3 separate regions of the Mus musculus genome follow, and regions 1 and 3 are each reported to be linked to region 2. The links are microRNA targets in miRTarBase. Many come from high-throughput screens and were not tested one by one. Region 2 holds a microRNA gene; each other region holds the end of a gene's coding sequence.
Evidence for each region. Region 2 holds the annotated microRNA mmu-miR-546 (AUGGUGGCACGGAGUC, at 2,263-2,278, shown strand). A microRNA usually pairs through its seed, bases 2 to 8, with sites in the 3' UTR of a target mRNA and lowers its output. Matches are read on the target gene's strand: a 7mer-m8 pairs with bases 2 to 8, a 7mer-A1 pairs with bases 2 to 7 and ends in A, and an 8mer does both.

Region 1 (3,154 bases), not on the chromosome of region 2:
GTAGATGTGGGATCGGGCCCAAAGGATACTGGGAGAGGTTCCAGTGTGTGCTTACAGTCCACAGCAGCAAACAACACAAGAACAGAAAAAAACCAAAGCAAGTCCACCAAGCTGGCTTAGCATGTCAGGGCGCTTGCTGCCAAGCTTGATACAAGTTCAACGCCTAGACCCCACATGGTAGAAAGAATCGCCCTCCACAGGTTGTCCCCGTGCCTCTGCAGTTGAGCACCTGCAGGTGGGTCCAGTCGTGGGCACCTGTGAGACAAGCACCAAGATGCAGAGAGCCGTGAACATAGCAGGCCACCAACAGACAGTAGCGGATGGGGGAGGTGGGAGTGGGGGCCTCAGCGCAGGGTCCAGAGGAAACAAGTCTGGTTTCCAGGTTCCCCAGACAATGGGAGACAGCCCAGTCAGGCCCTGGATAGTTTTGAAGGTCAGTCACCTGGTACCTTGCTGAAGACCTGTTGTTCCCACTCCAGTCTTCCCAAAGATCAAATGGGCCCAGGCCTGGGGCAGACAGAGTTCCCCATGGCACAGGGGACAAGCTCTTGAGAGCCTCCTGGGAACAGTTCCTTCTCTGGACTCAGCTTAAGCCAGAAGCATTCCTAGATGCCTTTGGTGGCCCTGCCTCGCTCAGGAATGAAAGCCCACTCCTCATCCCAAGTAGCTGGCAGCAGCTCACAGCACTCTGGCTTCTAAACCTTTTGCTCGCTGCCCTTCAGCTTGTGCAGTTGATACCTGCTATGCTCTCATGAGTCCCAGGCTTTTCTGCCATCTCTCACTGTGTGACAAAGTCATGGGGCAGACAGCTCATCTGAGTCACTACATATGTTTTGGTTCACTTTTTCTGGGGCTCACTGCCTACATTATCCTGGGAGTCAGGAGGGGTTTGGATGACAGCTCCTATCTGCGATACTTCTCATCAGCAACCAGTTGAGGGCCCAGAAGCAGGAAAACATGTCCCACCTAGGACAACCTTCTGCCTTTCACTCAAGGCTCATTTTTCATTCCAGCTGCAATGAGTGTTCTGCATCCCACTGGAGAGACAGAACCTCCGGTCAAAAGGGGTGCAGAGCACACCAGCACACCGGCAGGGGCATGGCTGACAGAGGCCACAAATGGCAAACCTGAGGTTGAAGAGAAGGCTCAGCTTCTACTTGCTGCTCCACAGAGGACCCAGACTGGGTTCCAACTCCAACATAATGGCTCACAGCCCCCTGCAGTTCTAGTTCCAAGGTACCCGATCGTACCGACCTGGCACCTGCATTCACGAGGTGCACTAGCATACACTCAGACACACACACACGCACACACAGACACACACATCAAACTTCAGAAAGCCCAGTCCTGGCAACAATTCTGTAGGGGGCAGTGATTGTGCACGTCCTGGGGTGTTTGAGAAGGACAGAAAAGCAGAATAAGACACATTGTGAACAGTGTGCATCCATGACTAAGACAAGCAGCTGGGTCCTCAGAGAGCCCCACCTGGCTGGCTGCCTCGGGCACTGCCCTGCCACCTCTGTGAAGATGAACTCACCTAGATAAATGTTCAATTTCTGCCTGCCAGTATCTCACCCTTAGCCCCATCTTCCTCAATATGTTCAAAAAATTTTGACATGTCTATTTTAGAAACACTTTATTGTTTTTCTGATTACATGGCAAATATAAAAATCCAAACATTACAAAATATATAAAATGCCCATTTCAAAAATAAACTCAGGTTGGGCGTGGTGGCACACACCTTTAATCCCAGCACTCGGGAGGCAGAGGTTGGCTGGTCTATATAGTGAACTCCAGTCCAGCCAGAGCTACATAGTGAGACCCGGTCTCAGAGAAAAAGCAGAATGAAGTATTATAAAATACATGATGTAGGAGATTGTACTTGGTGATCAATCTCAGCCCTGCTGAATCCCCCAGGGTTACAGAGTGTCATTTCCTCAGACCATGCACAAGCTGACACACATTTACAAAACCAAATGCCAGGTGTGGTGGTGCACACCTGTGGTCCCAGCTCTAGGGATGAGGCAGGAAGATCATGAGTTCAAGGTCATTCCCTGCACAGATAAAGCCATCTATGCCTTTAACAGTTCCCTATTTCTCCACATGAAAGTTTAAACCTGCTCCAATCGTGCGTACATACATATATCAGTGTTGAGTCATGAAATTCATGACAGCCATTATTTAACCCATTAAAAACATCAGTTTCACATGGCTCAAAATAATGCCACAGTTGGCTGTTCACACCAGGAGACATCTGGATGGCTTCCCACCTTCTGCCATTTTAAACAATGCAGCAGAGGATGTCCTGCATGTTCGTTATAAAATGCAAACATTTATCCCAGAAGCACCGTTTCTTTCAGAGGCGTATAGTCAGAGCTGCCATTTGCAGTAGAAATAGAAGCCATAAAAGCTCAGCACAAACTAGCACCCCACACACATCACAGTGGCCAAGTTCAGCCCTGGGGCGGTGAGCGTGAAGACCCTGCCACAGGAACACGATGAGCACCGGCACTGACCGTCCTCTGCACACTGGGCTGTGTCACTAGCGCTTCCGAGCAGGGCGCTTCTTCCGAGCAGGCTGCTTCCTCCTGGATCCTGTCTGAGGCCGATAGATCCTACTGCGGTCGCACTCCAGCTTGTGTGTGGTCTTCTTGTGGCAGGCGATGTGCACCAGCTTCAGGTTCTCGGCAGTGAAGAGCAGGCTGTAGAAGTACTCCCAGTTCACCTCCCTCCCATCCTGGATGGCTTCAGCCAGCGTGGGTACCACGGTGCGCTTCTTCTCTATTCTACCAAGTCAGGGGGAGACAACCATTCTACTGTGAGTGCCACACACTACGGGCTGCTGTGCACGCTCCCGTGAGCCACAGACACTCGCTGTCTGTGGATGCAGTGTCTACCACGGCAGGCAACCTCCTGCAGTCCCGACTGTTCTTTTGTTTTTTTGGTTTTTTTTTTTGTTTTTGTCAATATGACAAGCTAGGGTCATCTAGGAAGAGGGCACCTCAACTGAGAAAATGACAGGACTTAGGGATGAGTCACCAGAGGAGTCCAGCACCGTGTTCCGTGGGCTGCTGACACTGGCCCATCCCTGACATGGGCCATGGGTGGCCACGGTGTACAGACTCCAGCGCAAGCAATGCTGCTTGTCTTACTT
Region 2 (3,154 bases):
GCAGTGAGTGCTCGCATCAGGGACTGGGGTGGCTGCAGGCTGGGCCCGTGGGCTTTATCAGAGGAGTCCACAACCCCTGTGTGGCCCAGCAGCCTCCAATGGCACTGGAAAGGAAAGGAAATATCAGATAATGTCACTTTTTCCTGCCCCAGGTGCCTGTGCAGTCCTGGTTTGATGACATGGCAGATACAGAGTTGCTGAACCTGATTCCAGTCTTCGAGGAGCTAAGTGGAACTGATGATGTCTACACCAGCCTTGGGCAGCTGCGGGCCCCTTAGCCTTCCTGCTCCAAGAAACGGCCATCCCAACAGGGGACTCTGCTACACTGTGCCTTTGTGGTCAGCCTCACTGACGGGGTCTGCAAGTAGCCAGGGCGTGTGGGACAAAAGCAGGTCACACGCAGAGCAGGAAATCAGACCAAGACCCAGAGCTCTCTGCACCCCGTGCTCAGTTCCCAGGTGGTTGTGTGGGTGTGTGTGCGTGCATGTGCCCGTCCGGTAAACTATGGTCCTGGGTGCCCAGTTGTGCAGTAGGGGGAGAAGCTGAAAGATAAGGACTCAACCCAAGTCATTTGTCTTCTTTCCTGCTATGCTGTGAGCTACTGAGCTTTACAGCCATGAAAACTATTGTAGGCTCCCTCGCCAAACCATGGCTTTCCCTCAGCATCAAGACCTGTGCCAAGGAGAAGGGAGAGGCCGGAGGCTGCTTTGGATGCCCAGACACACATCTTTCAGAAAACACAGAAACCTAGCCAGCAGCTGCAGACATGTTTGGGAATATGAGAGCATGTTCGCAGACCCACCAGGTTCTGTGTCCTATGGGCTACACCTGGCTCCAGCAAGAATGCCTGCCATGGGCACTTCTCTGTACCCGGGCTCCAGTGCCAGGCCAGCCTCTCACTCCCAAGCCATAGTCCTACTCCCATGGGAAAGGAGGTCTTCTCTCTGCCCTGGAGGAGGACATATAGCTGATTTCTGTTCTTTTAACTCTTAAAAATCTCTTTCTAAACTTGGAGTGGTTTATATTCGCCCGAGCTCCAGTCCTGGGCCTGAGGTTTGTGTGGGAAGCGCTGGGGTACAAAGAAAATGCAAATGTTCAATGCAAGATGTCTGTCTCCTTGCGTGTAGATCCCAAAAGTGCTCTTCAGGGGTTCTGTGCTAGCTGATGCAAGGACATTAGCTCCAAAGGCTGGGGAGGGCTTGGCTCTCCCTCTGTGTCTTCCTGGTGTCCCGCCCTGGCCAGCTCTCGTCTGCTCTCGCCTTTATCCTTCTCGGCTGCTGCTCTTCCTCTCCAGAGCCTTGGGAGAAGGACTTTCCCCGGTTGTACTTAATTGATTGGTTGTCCCAAGTGTTGCTCTTACTTGATTTGCCAAATGCCTCCTGCTTCTCGTTATAGGACTGAGTGAGGTCCTCATAGCTCTGTGCTCTGGGCAGCTCTGAGCTCTCAGCCCTGTTGCTTTCAATGTCAGTCACAGAGTGGAAGTTTCCCCAAAGTGGAAAGCTACCATTGGGAACACAAGGGGCCCCTGAGGGGCCTCCACCTCACTGCCTTAAGTGAGTCCCGCCCACTCCCTGCCTCCCTCCGAGGTGGGCGGGAGTTCCTACCCCATCTCTGCTTCCCCTGGAGGCCGGCCAGCGTTTGTGGGTTGGTTCAGGTGTGGTACCTCCCACTCAGGAGTCAATATTTTCAAATTTTTCTAGTTTCCACACACGAGGTCCTGCCTGGGGTTTGAGAAAGCCTGGTGGAGGAGTGTGGTGGTGTGAGTGGAGACTGGCTGGCATTCCTCCAGCACTCTGCAGACTTCTTCCTGGGCCCGAGGCTATGGAGCCTTGGCTTTCACTTCTGTGACAAACACATGCCATTTCCCCAGCCTCATTTGCTGGTGTCTGTAGGGTCCTCCCAAGGTGAGCTGAGGGCTGCAGGTGCTAGCCAGGAACATGGGAGCTTGACTGTGGCTTCAGGTCCAGACCCTGATCTCACTGGCATCCCAATACTGCAGGAGGGGTCTTCTCACAAAGCTCTGAGGGCTGGTCTTGACTAAGCAATAAGAGCCTCAGAGTTGATTGAATTTTAAGGTCCCTTTCTGGCTTCTTGGTTCTCCATGTGACCAAAGCCCAGTGTGGCTTCATGGGAGCCCTGTTACTTCTCCATGAAACCCCAGCTCTCTAGGCCTGACTGCCACCAGAGTCCTCTTACCACCTGCAGTCTGCCACAAAGATGCCATATCAACTCCTCTCTTCCCAAAACTAAACAGGATCTATCATGGTGGCACGGAGTCAGCTAGATGTTGTCTCTTGCTATCCCTGTGCTAGTTCCATGTTTTAGAAGCAAAGTGATACTGGGGAGGAGAGGAGGGCAAGTGAGAGGAGCCAGTGCCTCCTGAAGCCCTTGCTCCACTGCCACCAGCCCGCCTGCCCCAGTGCAGACTGGTCTTCAGGAGTCAGTAGACCACCGGACCAGGTGTCAGCATCCACTCCAAGCCATGCTAGGAATCTGCCCCCTGCCGGGTTCAGCTCTTTAAGGTGCCTCTTCAGGGACACAGTGTGTGTCTGATTGGGCTTCGCATCAAAAGCCTGACGTTCCTGTCCCTCTTATAGGGGGAGCTTTGGACACAGGACCAGTTTGATAAAGGGCCAGGTAAGGGTTTCCACTCTGCACATTGTAGAGGGGACACCGAAGGCCCATGGGTCCCTAATTAAAGAAGTTGAGTGAATTTGCCTTCGTTCAACCAGGGACCTATCTCACTCCCTCCCAAAGATTTTTGTATAATTGTATAACCCCCCTCCCCCTGTTAACAGTGGCTCAGAAAAGCTTTGTACTAAAAGCATGGGACCCTCACAGCAACCATTCCTGGGAGATGGGTCCCTTATAGGTCCATGACCTGCTCTGTTCAGAGGCCTCTTGGCAGTGTGGCCTGTTTGTGCTGTCCTGCATCCAGTGTGTTGGCCTGGCTAAGTGAAAACGGTGAGCTGTTTCCCCTTTGGGCTACTTAACCACGGCTACTCCTTTTTTAAAAATGTCCTAGTTCTCCCCTACACACACACACACACACACGGTTTGATGAATTTCCAAACCACGGCTACTCCTTTTTTAAAAACGGGTTTGAACTCCTGTTTAGCCAAGAGTGATCTTGAGCTGGTCTCCTGCCTCCACC
Region 3 (3,154 bases), not on the chromosome of region 2:
TAGCCCACATCACTCTGAGGTCAAAGGAAAAATGTGCTGGTGGAGGTGGCTCCCAGCAATGTAGTCAAATATGGTGGTATCAGTAAGTCTCAGCACCTTGTTAGCCCCCCTTTCCATTTGAGGCCTACCTAGGCTGTGCATGAAGTACTTACATAGTTCATCACACTCCTGTGTTCTTTTTTCTCAGCTCACCACTCCTTTCATTTGGCCTTGTCCAACCAGCGGAGGAGCCCTCCTGAAGAACCTCCTGACTTCTGTTGTCCGAAGTGCCAGTATCAGGCTCCTGATATGGACACTCTACAGATACATGTCATGGAGTGCATAGAGTAGGAGCAGCAGATGCAAGGCCACTTGCAGTACTATGTCCTGATCTGTGTGACTTGTGCTTTCCTGTTTTACCTGCATAGTCCACACTTAAGGGCTTGCTTTAGCCCTTTGGTCCCCCATTTAGGGTAGACAGCCCCATTCAGGGCTTTTTTTTTTCTGTGTGCCTGATCCAGTTTGCCTCTGGTGGCTTCTTCCCTCTTCTCCCATAGTCCTAGGGAGTCTAGAATGGAGGCCAGGGGCTCTTAGGGAGCATCCCTTCTCCAAGCAGGTCTGGGTACAGCTTTTCTTCTCTCCAACTGGTACCTTTCTTGCCGGTGAACTGCAGGCTCTCCTCCCAGGGCATGTGGCACTTGGGTCTATAACATGTGTTACCTCTGGTAGACATGTGGAAAGTATTCTGTCCTTTTGTTACTGTAATTAATGGTGTAGTGAAAGTACTTGTACACTGATCTGTGTGTACCTTTAGGACAGATGCTTAGATGTGACATTGGATCCTTGCCCTGGAGGAGGTGGGCAGACCTTTGGATTTTTGCCATCTCTAAGATATACCATTCTTTACTAAAGAATTTGCTTAAGTGTCTTTTTCTGGGGCATGTGGGCCCTTTTTAATTCCTCTGATGTAACTTGGATTTTCATAATTCCTACCCATTTTTCTGTTGGGACATTGCCATTTGTTCTTGGGCTTTGTAGAGCTTTTTGATTATCAGTCAGGTTGGTTTTGACTATTACAGAAGTGCACCCCTTGTTCCACATTGATTGTTAGTGTTTTGGGGCCTAGAAGCTGTTTTATACTCCTACTTACCCATTCTTTACTCCTAGTTTTTTGACTTTGGAATTATGACTGCTTTGTCAACAGAAAGGTATTTCACATGTATGCTTTCCTTTTTCTAGCCCCAGTGTGCTCTTGTTTTTGCCAAGCACATTGTTACCTTCTGTGAATGGTGGTGGCCATAGTTCATCACACTCCTGGAGTTTGTGATCACATGTTCTTCACCAGCCAAAATGTCCTAGGGAACCATTTAGCAGTGACTGACTGATCACAGAAAAGGGAACACTTCACTTGTTTTGCAAGGTTCTAGACATTTTGTGGGACCTTACCGTCATTGGTATTAGACCTGCAGTTCTAGTAAAGGAAAGGAAGTTGTAGTTGAGAAAGCAATAAATATGCCTTGCTCATTCCTTAGGTCTAAATCCTTCCTGCCCTCCTGTAAGCTTTCATGGTTCTGAGTGGTATCTGTGAATCCATCCCGGGGGCTTTTATTTACATGGTTTCTTTCCCATTAAGAGTGAGAAGGCTAAGTAGAATTCAGATTATAAAAAAGGATTTAAAAAGTAATCCTGAGCTGGGGGCTTTCTCGGAATTTTCAGGGGATGCAGAGTAAGTTTTCCATTTCCTAATTCCCAGGTATCTATCAGAAAGATCTTTAGGAAAATGTTAAAGGAACAAACAAGTTCTTTGCTTATGTGTTTTCATTTAAATACCTAATCTATAATTTTCCTTTAGGAATACTATTGGTTTAGGTTGAGTCCAGTTTTGTGGTGGTATATATCACTTTTCTATAGCTGCTTTAAAATTTTTCCTAAACTTGGAAGAGCAAGAACAACAACAACAACAACAACAACAACAAATCACTCTTTCCTGTCTGGAAGCCACATATTAAGTTTTTTCTGGAGGCTGTGAGAATCAATTCCAGGCATTCTCTTAACTTTCAGTGGTTTGTGGTAGTCCTTGGTGTTGCTTGGCTCATAGACCCATCACTCCAGTTTCTGGTTCTAGGGCCTTGTGGTTTCTTCCTCTCTTCTGTCTCATAAGGAAACCATGTTGTGCATGTGGGGTCTATTTGATTAGATTAAGGAGGATCTCCAGTTCAAGACCCTTAACTCATTCCACCTACCAAGATCCTTTCCCCAAATAAAGTCTTGTTCTCACATTATGGGGGTTTGGGCTTATATAACCCGGAGTATGGATATCATCAGAACCTGAGTAAATGCAGCCCAAAGGCAGGGCCTTTAAAGCCTTGTAATTCTGCTAGAGAGACCTGGTCTCTAGGGTGATGACCAGTAGTCTTCAGAGTTTGAAGGCAGACCCTTGTCAGTGCTTGATGCTGTTAGTAGGGTCAGTGGGAATGATTGGGAAAGGCAGGTTGGCTATAGTAGGAGAGAGCTGTTGGGCTGCCTGCAGTGGCTGCATGAGCTTCACGCTTCTTGGATAAACAGAGATGCATAGGTGCATTTCTGACCAGTACTTTATCCTGAAAGGGTCCCAGAAAGCAGGTGTGACCCAGGTTACACAGTAGGAAGCTTGAAAACATGGGCTTCATGCACTGGTCAAGACAAATCTGAGGGTGGCACAAGGTAATGGTTGGGACCTAGTACCCTTCTAGAAGGTGGGAGCCCTTGCCACCGACTTACCCTGCAGTATGGTGTATGATTAACCGTACATCAAAGATTTGAGATTCTACCATCTTTTTGACATGAGACATGCTCTTTTCTTTTGCAGAATTACTTAAGCTAGAACTGGAAAAAGTGGTCGTTCCATTCCCCTCAGGAATTAGTCTACTTGCTTTTGCACAAATTTTATGTGGCCTCTGGCAGACAACTTTTAGATCCATACAGCTAGAAGCATGCCCTTTCCAGAAGACCTGTTCTGGAATAGATAGTGCTTCTTATGTATGCTCTCTTCCTGTTGGCCCATGCCCAAGAGAAAACCAGAGAGCCAGTAAGACAGTACAGAGTGCTTCACCTACTGAAGTAATAAACGATAAGGCAGATTGTAGGTAGGAATGATATCTAAAAAGGAACAATTGCAGCCCTGTGTGTGACACCC

Region 1: miRTarBase lists Dffb as a target of mmu-miR-546. Seed matches in the 3' UTR shown: 7mer-m8 at 1,729-1,735.
Region 3: miRTarBase lists Ikbkg as a target of mmu-miR-546. The part of its 3' UTR that is shown has no 7-base or 8-base seed match.

The regions. Positions count from the first base shown.
Region 1 is chr4:153,962,828-153,965,981 of GRCm38, forward strand. It overlaps Dffb (DNA fragmentation factor, beta subunit), which reads right to left. Exons shown (of 7, transcript NM_007859.4): 7 at 1,622-2,786. The coding sequence ends at 2,543. Among named protein-coding and RNA genes, the nearest start is that of A430005L14Rik, 7.2 kb to the left of the region's middle.
Region 2 is chr10:126,996,209-126,999,362 of GRCm38, forward strand. It overlaps Mir546 (microRNA 546), which reads left to right and starts at 2,232; the gene lies at 2,232-2,352. Ctdsp2 (CTD (carboxy-terminal domain, RNA polymerase II, polypeptide A) small phosphatase 2) reads left to right here. Exons shown (of 8, transcript NM_001113470.1): 7 at 1-3; 8 at 153-3,154. The coding sequence ends at 278.
Region 3 is chrX:74,448,030-74,451,183 of GRCm38, forward strand. Ikbkg (inhibitor of kappaB kinase gamma) reads left to right here. Exons shown (of 10, transcript NM_010547.2): 10 at 188-3,154. The coding sequence ends at 330. Among named protein-coding and RNA genes, the nearest start is that of Ikbkg, 20 kb to the left of the region's middle.